Oryzias latipes: one gene and its partners. The protein of the gene in region 2 purifies or fractionates together with the protein of the main gene of each other region. This does not show direct contact. Links are inferred from orthologs where the notes say so. Each region holds a gene or a part of one and is shown on either strand. Other genes may lie near its edges.

Region 1 (5,020 bases), about 12 Mb from region 2:
TGAACACCTGTCCATCAGCTAGAATTCTGACCCACAAAGACCTGTTAGTCCGTCTTTGAATAGTCCACCTCCACTCCACTTGTTATCCTAAATTGGAGGCACCTGTTTGAGGTGATTAGCTGCATAAAGGCACCTGTCGACCCCACACAATAAGACTCTAACTACTAACGTGGCCAAGACCAAAGAGCTATCCAAAGACACCAGAGAAACAATTATAGACCTCCACAAGGCTGAAAAGGGCTTTAGGGCAATTGGCAAGCTGATTGGTGTGAAAGATTCACCGTTGGAGCAATTATTAGAAAATGGAGGAAGCTAAACATGTCATCAACCCTCAGACTGGGGCTCCAAGTACAATCTCACCTCGTGGGGTCTTAGTGATCCTAAGAAAAGAGAGGACACAGCCCACAACTACATGGGAAGAGCTGTTTGACCTCTTCCTCCTCCACTTTCATCAAATCAAACTTTATTTATAGAATAGCGCTTCTCATGCAGTTGCACAGCTCGGAGCGCTTTAACATTAAAAACAGAAAACACACAATATTACAGTAAAAACCCAACCCACCCTTCACCCTTCCCACTCCCCTCCGTTAAAACATATGACCCATGGCCCCCTACATATAAAGAATAATGACTATGTAACTTTAAATAAAATAACTAAATAAATATGCAAACAAGTATGGCTTTGCTCTGCTGTGAGGAAACAGTATTTGGGAATCTCTTCATGCCAGGAGCCAGCCTGGCCATGGGAGCATCGCCACAGTGCCCACCCAGACGGGGACAACACTCGGGTCCACTTCACAGACGTGAAGCTGCAAAGTTAGACTCCAGCTGCCCCAGCAAGGGCAACAACTGCAGCAACAACCACCGACCAAGCCGGCAAGCCCTGGAAGAAAATATCCCCACAAGAAACACTGGGGCTAAAATCATGATAAGATACTAAAATTAAAGATACTTATACTTACATAAAAGTGTCGACCTGTAAGGTAAGAGTAAAACCACTTAAGAACATTTCCAGAGAGGCCCACTAGACTCCTAAGTCTGTCTAATAAAATCTGGTGATCTACTGTATCAAAAGTGGCACTCAGATCTAGCAGTACCAGAACAGAAAGTTCTGTGAGTCGTAGTTTATTCTAAGATCATTAACGATCTTTAAAAGAGCCGTCTCTGTACTATGGTTTGTCCTAAAACCAGACTGATATTTTTCTAAAATTTTTTGGGTGATTAAAAAGTCATGCAGTTGAGTAGCGACACTTTTTTTTTAATAATTTTACTTAAAAATGGTAATTTGGATACGGGTCTGTAGTTATCCAGATTTTTTGGATCTAACTGACTCTTCTTCAGAAGGGGCCTCACCAAACCAGGGGAAGACCCCCATCTGAAGAGAGCAGTTAACTATGTTTAAAAGATCGGACTCAAAGAATCCATAAAATGTTTTAAAAAGTGAAGTGGGAATGTGATCCTAAACGCAGGTTGTAATGTTTACTTGAGATACAACTCGATCAAGCATCTCTGCATCAACAAGGACAAATCATCTTCCTCTTCATCTTCCATATCATTTCTCAACAATACAACTAGCAATCCAAATTCTTTTTTTTTTTTTTTTGCTAAGGTAAATAAAAGATTAAGAATAATGCATTTAATAAAAAGGGAAATCTGAATAATCCCGATAAAAATAAAAATAAATGAACAACCTATTTAAACAATACATACGTTAAAATACAGTCAAGATAAAAAAAAAAACATGGAGGAAGAATCTGTTAACCGTATGGGATTGTACTGGTTTTGTCCAATTACTAGAGACTCACAACTGAAACTGGAAAGTTAACATTTTTTAAAAGACAGAATTTGCCAGCATGTGAGTGGTTTTTCTTAAATCGTGATTTTTTAAAACTATAAGTATACATGTATATTTTGTAATGAAAGCGTTTTGTTAGTAGGCGTGGCCATTTTTCCTACGCCATGTTCACCTCAGCCGTCTATTGGCTGAATCAGGTTAATGGGGGTCCCCTACCCGAGATTACAGGGGTAAAATAATAAATCGTACCTATCTCTTTAAGTGGCGAATCTCTGGTGCAGCAGAGATCTGTTACTTGTAGTTAGAGGAGGTTCGAAAGTATAATTTTTCACATTCGGCATTCCTATATTTGGGAACAGTTTACAGTCGGGTACTTGTCGTAATTTATTCCACACGATTCTGTCTACTTTGATAGGTCCTTCAGAAGGTAAGTTAGTTAGCCATTCTCCAAGATTTCGGTTAAGCGAAGCAAACGTATCAGCTAGCATTGCGTTAGCAATATTGCCTTCCACACAACAACTGTTCGATTGTATTGTTGATATTTACAATTTTCAGTGAAACGGTTTTTTTTAATATAAGCAACCGTACTCCTAACTATACACGGGGACATTTTGTGATTCAAAGAGATTTGGAACACGCTTTCCTTTGTTGTCTTAAGCTAGCACCGACCGAGCATTCAGTTGTGGTGGTGGTGTTCAACGTTAAGTACGAATTTGGATGTTGATGTATTGACATAGCAAGAAAGTATTATTTCAAACATTTTTTTGTATTGATTTTTTTGTGTTGTAACCAAAAATACGATTTTAAAATGAGGAAGTTATTTTTACGTGTTTAGGCTAAGTTTCTGTAATGGCTAGTATCGCCAGGTGTTGCCGTCATCATGTTGGCATTTTCTATTTAACAGCTTGTGGTCAGCATTTTGGAGGTTTCCTGAACTAGTTTGTTGCAGTTGGTTTCAATAGTAATATAAAGTTAAAAATAAAATAAAAAATAACTTAGTCTATAACTGACTGTGAAGAAAATGCGACGACGCCACACGTTAGCTGAAGCTAGCTAGCTAAGCAGCAATGACGTTCTTCTTAGGGGTTAGCTGGCGTTAGCCATTTGGTGGCAGCGCAAAGGCCGGCATATTGTGAATAAAAATGTTATTTCACCTTGTAGTTAATGTTACGTTTGCTGACAGCGCGTGCACATTATGTCTCTACAAGCTCGGTAGAATTGGCATTCAGTAGAGCGTTTATACGTGTCTGTCACATTATGTTCTGAACATGCGTAGAAGAATGTTAGGTGATGAAGAGTTCTTAGGATGTGTAAGGCCTCCCCATAAGGCCTCTAGTCAGGAAGGTTTGCTTAGTTGTGTAACACATTCTTGAAATGTGGTGACAAATAAATGTAGAATTCTTTTTTTTTTTAAATTTTTTAATCTTCCTTTTTACACACCAGTTTGAGCATTTACACTAGATGTTTCCCGTTTTTTATTATGTACAGTCGGTTTGCCCCCCTTTGTCTTATTGATGTCGCAGAATGTTAACCGTTATGAACACCTTTGATCCGGATAAATGTTGTGATGTTCACGGTTTTCTCTCTTTTCATTACTTATTCATTTGACATGCTCTGAGAGAAAAATGTAAGGTTTTAAGTAATCGGCCAATTAGAGGAATCAAATGAATAGTTGGCCCTAGTCTGAAATTCTTATAGAATTTAAACCTGAATTTGAACGCTAACCAAATGACTCTAGGTGAGTTACTCATTACAAACAGCCTGGTTTGGGTTTAAAGGTTTCAGTACCTGCTTAAGGTCTTTATGATCATGGTAAAAATCTTCTTCAATTTTGCGTTTGTTTTTTTGTTGAAATTTTTATAAATGTTGTCCAACGTTTTAGATTATCTAAAGTAATCAAGGATTGGACTGGGTTAAAAACCCTAAATAGAAACAAGAAAATTTGTACTTTTATTTGAGGAAGATTAAATATGTCTTGAGATTTTGACATGCCTGTTTTCGAACAGTTGTCCTAAAGGTTACCGAATTATATTATCCAGCATTCAGCGATGACCTCTTATATTGTGGAGTTTAAAGTAGAAATAAGTCAGTTGAAATTCTATTTTATATCTCACTTTGTCCTTTACATGGTATTTTCTTGTTTTATATAAATTACTTATATTATATAAAACATCAGTCACCCGAGTCTGCAGTATGAAAACCTTTGTCATATCTGTGTCTTCATGCATAATTAGAATTTCTGATGGATCCTGTTTTTTTTTTTTTGTTTCAGCACTTAATATTGTTTACCAAAGAAATGGTGATGGAGAAGCCAAGTCCCCTGCTTGTAGGGCGGGAGTTTGTGAGGCAGTACTATACACTTCTAAACAAGGCACCGGATTTTCTGCACAGGTAACTTCAGAAATATAATTGAGGTATTTTATGTACAATAAATCTGCAGGTTCTTATTCAACGTCTTAATCATGTGTTTAGGTTCTACGGGAGAAACTCTTCCTATGTTCATGGAGGACTTGATCCAAGTGGAAAGCTGGCAGAAGCAGTGTACGGTCAGGCTGTAAGTGTGATCATCAGAAGGATTTTGTTGTTTGCTTAGACTTCAACTACTTTCTGTTCTTTGTTATTGCTTTTCTTATATTTACTGAGATCTAGTTCTCTATGGGGGAAATGCATATATATATCTATATATATATATATAGATATATATAAATACACACACACACACACACACACACACACACACACACACACACACACATAAATACAAGGTTTAAAAAAAATCTTTGGACTTTAAAATTATACAGCTTATTTAAAAATGTTCATCAATATTTAAATATAAATTCAAGAGTGCAACTTATGAAGGATGAGTGTTTTACATAAATTGTTTTCGTATTATATATTTATAAATTTATTTATTTTTTAATTTTCCTAGGAAATCCACAAAAAAGTCATGTCCCTGCAGTTCAGTGAATGCCACACAAAGATCCGGCATGTGGACGCTCATGCTACACTGAGTGATGGCGTGGTCGTGCAGGTCCTTGGGGAATTGTCAAATAACGGCCAACCTATGAGGAAATTTATGCAGACATTTGTGCTCGCTCCAGAGGTAAGTGCTGCATCCTTTTTTTTTTTTCAAAAAGTAGAGTTGGTTGTGTTTGATAACTCTTGAGGTTTAAACTTCCAGCTTTTAAAAAAAGTTTAAAAAATTTTTATGTTTTAAAATGTGAA
Region 2 (4,229 bases):
ACGTTCAAAACGCGTTGCAAGTTAAAACAGGCCGACTCCTGGATTTGGTAGTGAAAAATCAACGACGACCGCTTTAATTCACGGAGGTCCCGAATGTTCGGAAAAGCAATCATGGAGGAGAAATTAATCATTGCGGTTCGTGCCCGGCTGGAATTCCACGACACAAAGTCTTTCATTTATCGCAATAGAACTGTGAAAGATAAAGTCTGGAGCGAGGTTTGTACCGCTTTGACATTTCGCACCGAGCCTCTTCAAACTGTAGCCGGCAGACATGCGCTAGTATTATTGCTATACTACTTAAATTGTTTAAAAATTACACAATATTAGGCCTGCACAATATACCGCAAATTTATCGCTATCGCAGTACCAAGCTGTGCAATACGCATATCGCAAAAGACAGCAAAAATTGCAATAAATGGTTACCTTAAATGTGCTAAAACAAGCTTATGGCAGCTTGAAGTATTTAACGAATCCAATAAATCAATTTATGCATTTGACCAATCAGATGGAGTCCTATTATGTTAGATGTTCCCCTTCTCTGTTGACGAGGGTCATTTGGAGTATAATTTTTAAACTGTTGCAATTATATGGGAATGATGTTTTTGGTTGTTTTACTCTTTGTTTATTTACCGCAAGTTATATTCTTATCGCAATATGTTTATCACCAAAATCACATATTGCGAGTTTTCCTCATATCGTGCAGCCATATACAATATGATTTCCTGGACTTCTACATTCTGTCTCCAACTGTTGAAATGTTTCTGTCATTAACACTACAGACCTCTGGCATCTCTGTGGAAGTGGGACAACTTGCAAACAGTTGTTTGCCCCACTGCAAGACTTACACTTCATGAGCTCACTTCTTTTTTCAGCTGAAGCGATGTCTTTGGCAATTTCTGCATTCAAAACTGAGAGGGAGAGAAAAGAAAAAACAGCTCAATTGGGCACAACAGCAGTTTAAATTAAAAAAATTGGTATTTGTAATAAAATTCCCACTATTTGCCACATCTGCCCCCTTGCTCTTTTATTGCATTTCAAAGCTCAAAACTACATTAGATTATTTTAGAAAAGAATAACGAATAACGTTGTTGAAGCTGACTAACCTGCATTGTACAAAGAAAATACAAAAGATAGCAGAATAGTGTACAGGAAATCCAAACTCAGCTGAGTAATGTAAGGCAATGCTATATAAAAGGCTGAAAATGATGTTTTAATGAGTTCTGGTTCTGTTTGTGAGGTGAAATTCTGGCCCAGACTGTGGTGTGGAACTGCCACCAGATTAGATTATAACCCGAGACAATAAACCCCGTTGTCTACCTGATATTTTCTCCTTTAGTTTGTGTACTTTCAGGTCCAAAAGGTGTTCCATGGATTTGGACAGCTCTCGTTTTGTCAATCCGCTTGCATCGGAAGACTTGGTGCCTTCTAAAAAAGGGGAAAAAAATAAATACAGGCATGAATCAAAATGAGTAAAAAGGATTATTTAAGGCAGAATCCAAGCAAAGGGTCTGGAGTTTAAAGTCAAACGCCGATCATCATTCGATCTTTTGTAGAAGAGTTCCCAGTGGTCTTTTAAAGATGACGTTTTTAGCCAAAAATAAACCTATGACGTTTTCTAGGACAGTTTCTGCAGAGTGGCAGTAGTTCAGTAGAATTTGCCTCTCAGTTGTGGGTGAGACCATGTATGTGGGGCATCCCTGCCCACCCCCCTTTCCTCCCAGTAGCTAAGAACAGGGCGCTTGTGGCCCGCCTAGTCACAAATACAAATATAAATCTTTTTCAAACCGTATTTTTGCGTCTGCTCCTGATTTACAGCGATTTGAATCAAAAAAAAAATTCTCAGAAATGCAACTTTGACATTAATTTTCTCAATGTTGGTCCTCCCACGTCAGAAAAATGCAACAAGAACATGTCAGAAAGTCCCCTACCCTGCTTTGCTACAGCACTGTAAGATCAGTAAATATTTAATAATGCTAACTTACATTTTTAAAGTCAAACAATTCTTACTTGATCTTTTCTTTGAGGCTGGTTTAGGCAGAGAAGTTTGGATGGGAGTTCCAGGCTCTAAAAAAAGACAAAAAATAGAGCATTTAAAGTAATCCTTTTAGATAAAATTTCACAATTTTGTTTCATTTTTCTTGTGAGTTATTATAAATCATTTTATTATAAATGAGTAAAATTCCTCAATTATTTAATATTATTTATTTTAATAGGTTACCCAATTGCTGAGATGTTTTTGGGGTCAAAGATAAAGAAGAAGCTGCTCCTGCACCTAAAAAAAAAATACAACAAATCCATGCGTCAGTATTTTATTATCCCTCAACAGTCGATAGACTAAAAGGTCCTCCAAATCAAACAGGATTGCTAAATATAAATGAATAAAACATCCGTATTTGACAGCATGTTTTGTTTTGCAACAGTTATGTATATTTTTATGCTTTATTTAAAATTTAATACGAGGGAAATACATGTAATTGTTTTTTTACTCCTAAGCTTACAGTTTTTGTTTTTTTCCACATTACAACAAATAATAGTGCTTAAGATTTCTTTCAAAATAAAACATTAACCATTGGAAAATCCACATGATGACTGGGCTGTGGGGTTGGTTAAGAAATTTTGATTTAATGCATTATTTGGACAAAAAAAAAGAAGTATTTTGTCTCATGTTTAACCTTCACAACTGAACGATTTTTAATGGTTTCTCGTGATTACTACGGGGTCAAATCAGGATTTTCTTAAAATGAATGAAAAACCAGATTGTACATTTAAAAAAACACTCATGTTTATTTGAAAATAAAAAAAATTAAAATAAGTTTTAAACTAGAAAGTACACTAACTTAAAAAAATAAATAAATAAATTTAGGAAAAATAACTTAAATTCGAAGAAATACTGACAACTTAAAAAAATAGCCTAACTTTACAGCTAAAACTTGCCAAATTCAAATTAAATTTTTTAAAAGTACAAAATTTTGGTTAATGTGCAATTTTGTGATATAAATCATATTTTGCCATGTCTTTTTTTCAAATTATTTTTTTTCATTCACTTTAAGCTTATTCAGATTTGATCTCATAGATTTGGGGCTTTTAAACATTTCATACTTTAATCATATAATGTGAAGATAAACAAGAAGTGACCATTTTTGCAGAAAACCCAATGAAAGAAATATTTTGTACAAAAAACAAGTCTTCGAAAAACTAAATTTCTGACAATCATCAACAATACTCATGCAAAAAATTAAAGATCCAGTCACATTTTATTTTTTCAGAAAATATTGATAAAGAATTTCTCCATTTCTAAATCATTGTGGGATCTAACAGAATTCATTTTGTGGATTTTAATAAAAATGATGGGGAAAAAATTACAGTTTAATATGATAAAGGGTGAATTTGCAGATTCGGTCACCCGTCCCATACTTTCATTTCTAAATACTCACCAGCTTGAAGAAAGACCGTGGCTACCGCTGGGATCAAATTGAACAGAATTCACCAACAACATTTTTAAAAAGGATTTAAAAAGTCCCGTCAGCGCAGCTGAAGACTGACCCGGTTTGAGCAGCTCTATCCGCGCTGCAACAGGATGTCCAAACATTTCCGTCAGGTGTTTCTTCAGCACAGCAGGAAAAATCTCTGCCGCCATCACTTTGCTGGAGTCCAAGGTGACCCGAGGCGTGTAGGGCTCAAAATTCACAGCTTGGGGGAGTGTGAATGACGTCTGCAGGACAGAGGGTGGATCATGATGCACCTCATTGTAATCACAGACACACTGCTGGGTGAGATTTCTAACATCTAAAAGAGCTTTTTTTTATGAAGGTGTGGAGCCATAAAACCAGGTGAGACACCACTAGTGGATCAAAGATCGAATTAGAATTGAACTGTGTACATGGTCCCAGAAAAACCTTATGCGATTATAACAAACGTTTACATACGCCACACTTTTGGTCGGAACAAATCATTTGGACGTGCAGGACTCTCCAAAATACCGGAAACGACCACAGAAGAGGAAATATTGATTTCTGTTGTAAACAAACAAACCTGCAGCGTGGAGTGAGATGATCTTCTAAACGTGATTTTATCATTATTATGATTATTATTACGTGCTTGTTCGCTCGTACTTTTTTTTTTAACTCTGTGCCTTTTTTCTTGGCGGAACGGAGCCGAAAGAAGGGTTAGGCTAATAAGTGCCAGCAACAACATTTAGCCGTGGATGCATTTAAAATCCATGTGGTCAA
Region 3 (4,850 bases), on a different chromosome or scaffold from region 2:
TTCTATACATAACAGCCTCAAGCATAATTTTCTAAACTTATTTAAAAAAAACACTCAACGTTTATTTCCATTTACACTAATTTTATCTGAATTTCATTAAAAAAAATGAAAAAATTTGAAAACAATAAATTGCCTAATTGTATACAGTGCATTCTGGGGGGTATTATCTGGAGGGGCTGGTTTATCACATTTACACAACTGAAGAGAATCAACCACTATTAGGAGCCAGTGAAACATCGCCATGCTGCTCATTCCTCCAAGTTTTTTTTATTTTCTTTTTTTTTTTTTTCTAAATGTCCCCACCCTATTTTGATTCCTGACTGCTGCAGCACTTCCTCTTCCTGTGGAGTTCAAAGGTTAAGCAATGCTGATTGGCCAACCCTCCTGTTGAAATATACAGGCTGTAATGCAAAAAGAGTGCCCCCCAAGCTTACAAGGGTGTGGGTTCCCTCTTTTTTCATTGAGTATGATTATGTTCCATGTTCTACAGAGAGAGGGGGAGCTCAATTTACTCCAGCCCCAGTGTGGCTGAAACCCCCCCCCCACTATAAAACAACCTGAATATACAAAACATTAAATTCAAGAATCAAATCCTTCCCCTCTCTATTTTCTTATTAAAAGCTGTGTCAAACAATGTGTGTGGTTTTGTCTTTGTGATCTTTTTAAAAGCTATTCCATAAAAACCTCTTGGTATACAATTTAACCAATAGTTTGTCTTTATTTAACCTTTAAAGGGAAATTCTATAAAAACAGACTCATTGATATTTTTTTAGTTTAAAAAAAGGGATATATTTTAGGTGTAAACACGCAAACATGCTTCGTGATTCAACTTAGTACAAATAAAATATGTTAAATTTGGATCTAATAGTTTTAACCCCAATTCGACATCAATGCAAGCAGAATTACGCCAACACCAGGAATACGCACCACACGTCCAGATTTGGTGGAGCACTAAAGATTTTTTGTTTGTTTGTTTTTTGAAAGCCTGAAAACGCTCCACCTCTCACACAGACATTTCGCGAGTTGGGCCCTAAGCCTCCCATTCCACCCGCGATTTGAGGAGTCCATCTCATGCAAACAGCAGCACAACATGCTGAAGAGGGCGAAAGCGCAGGGCAGACAGGGAGAATGACGGGCAGATCCTTCTCAAATGGACGACTCCACAAGGCCTGCACGCCACAAATCCAGCCTGCGTTCACGTTTGCTCCTTTCGCCGTGCGCTCTGAGAGGGTTACAAGCCGCCATGAGCTTGGAGCTCATATATTGGGCACTACATGCGAAAACAAGGGTGGATGTGTAAACAGGAGAGCCAAAAGAGAGCATGTGAAAGCCAAAAGCACAACGGTTTAGGAGCAAAGCGGAGAGAAGGGAGTACAGTAATCCTCCACACGCCCCTTGTGTTTGACCCCTGAGCTTTCAGGGAGAGGAAATACTATTTTACGCAAAATAAAAAATTGAACAATGCACTGAATTTACTATGCTGGGAACCAAATAAAAACTGAAACTGCCATTTTGGATTTTTTTTATTTAAAAAAAAAAAGGCAAAATATGATTTAAACCTACCTTTGACGCTTAGGGACAGAATGCTCCACTTCCAGAAGTTTCCCGTGGAGTTCAACTTTACCTAAAACACAAAAAAGCAACTTCAGAAACATCCTGACCTTCCGGTAGAAAATTCACTCTTTATGGGAAGTTTCTCTCTCAAAAAAAAACATGAGCGTATTTTCTCCATTAAGCTAAACGCATAAAGACGACAGCAATTCCCATCTACAATCTATTTGAGGTCACCTGAACCTGTGCGTTAAAGGCATATTTTACGAGAAAACAAGTGAAAGAAGAACCAAACGTGTTTGTTGGCTTCATTCAGTTGGCCTACATTTGACCAACACAATTAAACCACCTGGTGTGTCAGCAACATGGCTTCACCACGCAGACGGAGGGCCCGTGTTTTGAAACCCGGGGAAACTGAAACTTCGTGGGTGGAAAGGTAGAAACACACCGCTGTCAGTGAACCTCCAACAAGGTCCACTTCTCAAGGCGTCTGCGCCCCAGCTGCCCTGAACGCCACACGAAGCCATTGTATTCATGTCGTTTTGTTTACTTCTGCTTTTTAAAATCAAGGAAAGCCAAAAGACTTTCCACCTAAACCCATATGTTTAAACCCCTGGAGTCTAAAGGCCACGTAAAGGTTGTGTGATAGAAGAAAAAAGGCACCCCCGCCCTTCGTGCATGCATGCATGCATTTCTGGGGGCAATGAACGAAGTAAGACGATCCTAAATGGAGGCTCTTTGTGAATTTGTTGAAAATGTCTCACCTGAAAGAACATCGATGGCCTTCATCGCTGCCTTCTCGTCCGGGCAATCCACAAACGCATAGCCACTTTTGACCAGAAACGGACCACTGTGCGGAATCTTCCACTGCTCAAAGATACTTTCGAAGTCCTCCTCGCTCGCCTCTGCGCTCACGTTGCCAATGTAAAGCTTATTCATGTTCCACGCCGAGAGGGGACAATCTTTACGCGGAGGGAGAGTCAGTTACCTACTCCCGTGGATGTGCAAGTGCGGTGTGCGTGGAGTAGCCCGCGTCGCCGTTACTACTACGGACTGAGCGGCTGTGGCGTGCTTCCCGGTCGTTCAAGCCTCAGAATTTAAACTGGCAGCCTAGGTGTGCGTTCGCTCTCTGTCGCGCAATAAATAAACGCTCAATTATTAATCTCCAAACGTTGGCGGGCCGGGAGAAAAGGAGGAGAAACTACTTTGTGTCTTCTTCCAAACCCCTTGGCAAAGAGACAGAGAATGTCACACACGGTGAGGCTGGCGCCCGCCTCTAAGTCTACAGCCCAGAATAAGAAGAAAGGAGGAGGAAAAAAAAAAACTCTGCTATTCCGGCTTTTTTGAATGAGCCACGTGTTCAAACTACAAATCAGCCCACACGTGAGGATTCCCAATTGCTCAATTAAGTATTTGGGGGAAATTGCACGGGAATCTGGGGTGGGGACAGCAATGGGGAGTGAAGAAAAAAGGAGGGGAAGAGTGGATTGGTGTTGGGAAAATCTTGTGCGTAAAGGGATTCCATGAGAAAGTAGTGCATCTTAACTGGATTCACAATCGTTGCCTTTCTCTGCAAAACTTTGATTGTCATTGGTCAACAGGGGAACATTAAATCGACTGCGCGTTCACGCGCACTCCATAGCAGGGAGACAGAAAATTGCTGGTGCTCGTCCGCGCGGGTGCGCCGTGCCCTAAACTGATGACACAGTTGAGGGAGAAGGGGGTGTGGCCATTCATAAATAATGTTACACTGTATTGTTAAATTGCATATCGGATGTATTTAATTGCAGGTATGTGTGGAGCGTTGGCAGAACCCCGCGCGCACTCTTCGGACCCTCGCACTCAAGTGGAAATGACAACCTGATGACGGCGTCCATCTTCTCTAGCAGGCGTAGAGCCATGCTTCTCTGAGTCTGATCCACGGCTCAAAGTCCAACAGGGGGCCATTTTTTTCTCGTGTTTACATAAATTGAACATTTAAGATCGTATACTTTAATGTGAAATCTGATTTTTCTGCTTTTTACTTTCATATGTTTAGGCATCTGTGCACAACCCCCAGCCATGTGGCGCAAACGCACATGGCGAATCTTGTCTGGCATGGATTTACTAAAGAGGGAGGGGTCTCCTCTACTACTGGTAGTATGTCCCGAGCGACCTATGTAACGCATAGCCCAGCTCAATCACGTGTGCAATACATGACTGCAACATTACACAACTGTCAATAGGATCTTAAGTAAATTATAAGCAGGGGTTAAACTTTTACGTCCACGTCAGACAGAATCCAAACCTGTTGGTAGTGAAAAAAGTCATCTTTTAATCTAGTTCCAACCAAATTTTCTACTTGTTATAAACAAAACAAAAAAAGTTATTGGAAACCTCTTAACATAAAGTAGCTCAGTTGAAGTTTATTTCATTGTGTGCTTGAGCATAAGTATAGGCTACTATACTTGCTACCATCATGTAGTGTAGCGTAGAGTATACTAACTGCATACTTATTCAGACTAAATTGGAACATTTTAAGTGTACGATCTATTCAAGTATGCTACAACAGCTAAAGAAATTAGTTTTTGCAATAGTGGCCAACTAAAAGGTACAAATAAACTAATTAAGTCGATTCCTGAGGTACATTTAAAATTGTTTTTGATTGCTGGAGGTATGAGGAGTTTTGTTTTACCATAAACTTCTGTAAAACCTAAAGAACTTGCTCCAAACACACAACAATTAAGAAGTTTGCATACTTTGTGTCAGCTACTTTACTTTTGTTTTGTTCTTTTTAAAGCAACATTTGATACGCACAACATTATTTGGCTACAAAGAACTTCAACAATGTGCTTTGTTAAAGAGTTTAAATGCTTCATACTATTTAAAAAAAATGTAAATGATAAATAAAACGTGTTTAAAAACAAATTTGACCTTTAACATAGTTTGTGTTTTTTAGTAATTAATTAGCTCAATTGAAAAGTGTGGCTGTGTGTAAAGCAGGTTCCAGAGGCACCGTTGGCTCAGTGGGCCCTTCATTCACCGCTCCAGACTGGGGCCATGGTTGTCTGTCTGTGTGGGTTTACTCCTCTGCTGTTGAGCAAACACACCGAGCTGTCTGATTGGTCAGATCTCTGGGCCAATCAGAGAGGCGCACACCCTCTCTGAACTACAGGCTTTGGCTCGGCCTCAGCGCGCTCATTCATTGGCTCCCCGGCTTGACAAATTCCATATGAATCAGCGCGCCAATTACGCAGTTCTGCCCTACCATTTCTGTTTCCTCTGCTGGGCTTTGTCATAAAGCATAAAGATGTAACCAA

What was found.
Region 1: the proteins of E3 ubiquitin/ISG15 ligase TRIM25 (region 2) and g3bp2 purify together in Homo sapiens (affinity purification with mass spectrometry; 4 studies listed by BioGRID and IntAct, counting the BioPlex papers as one, with this or other methods). This does not show direct contact. The link is inferred for Oryzias latipes from reciprocal best matches to the Homo sapiens genes TRIM25 and G3BP2.
Region 3: the proteins of E3 ubiquitin/ISG15 ligase TRIM25 (region 2) and igf2bp3 purify together in Homo sapiens (affinity purification with western blotting; 3 studies listed by BioGRID, with this or other methods). This does not show direct contact. The link is inferred for Oryzias latipes from reciprocal best matches to the Homo sapiens genes TRIM25 and IGF2BP3.

What each region holds. Positions count from the first base shown.
Region 1 is NC_019859.2:16,816,037-16,821,056, forward strand, and holds the start of g3bp2 (ras GTPase-activating protein-binding protein 2), read left to right. Parts: upstream 1-2,029; 5' UTR 2,030-2,222; intron 2,223-4,067; 5' UTR 4,068-4,091; coding exon 4,092-4,186; intron 4,187-4,267; coding exon 4,268-4,349; intron 4,350-4,724; coding exon 4,725-4,898; intron 4,899-5,020.
Region 2 is NC_019859.2:4,840,669-4,844,897, reverse strand, and holds part of E3 ubiquitin/ISG15 ligase TRIM25, read right to left. Parts: intron 3,713-4,229; coding exon 3,544-3,712; intron 3,462-3,543; coding exon 3,435-3,461; intron 2,273-3,434; coding exon 2,219-2,272; intron 2,065-2,218; coding exon 2,008-2,064; intron 1,426-2,007; coding exon 1,318-1,425; intron 909-1,317; coding exon 846-908; intron 1-845.
Region 3 is NC_019869.2:10,790,772-10,795,621, reverse strand, and holds the start of igf2bp3 (insulin-like growth factor 2 mRNA-binding protein 3), read right to left. Parts: upstream 3,047-4,850; 5' UTR 2,491-3,046; coding exon 2,316-2,490; intron 1,625-2,315; coding exon 1,564-1,624; intron 1-1,563. UniProt on the Homo sapiens protein: RNA-binding factor that may recruit target transcripts to cytoplasmic protein-RNA complexes (mRNPs). This transcript 'caging' into mRNPs allows mRNA transport and transient storage.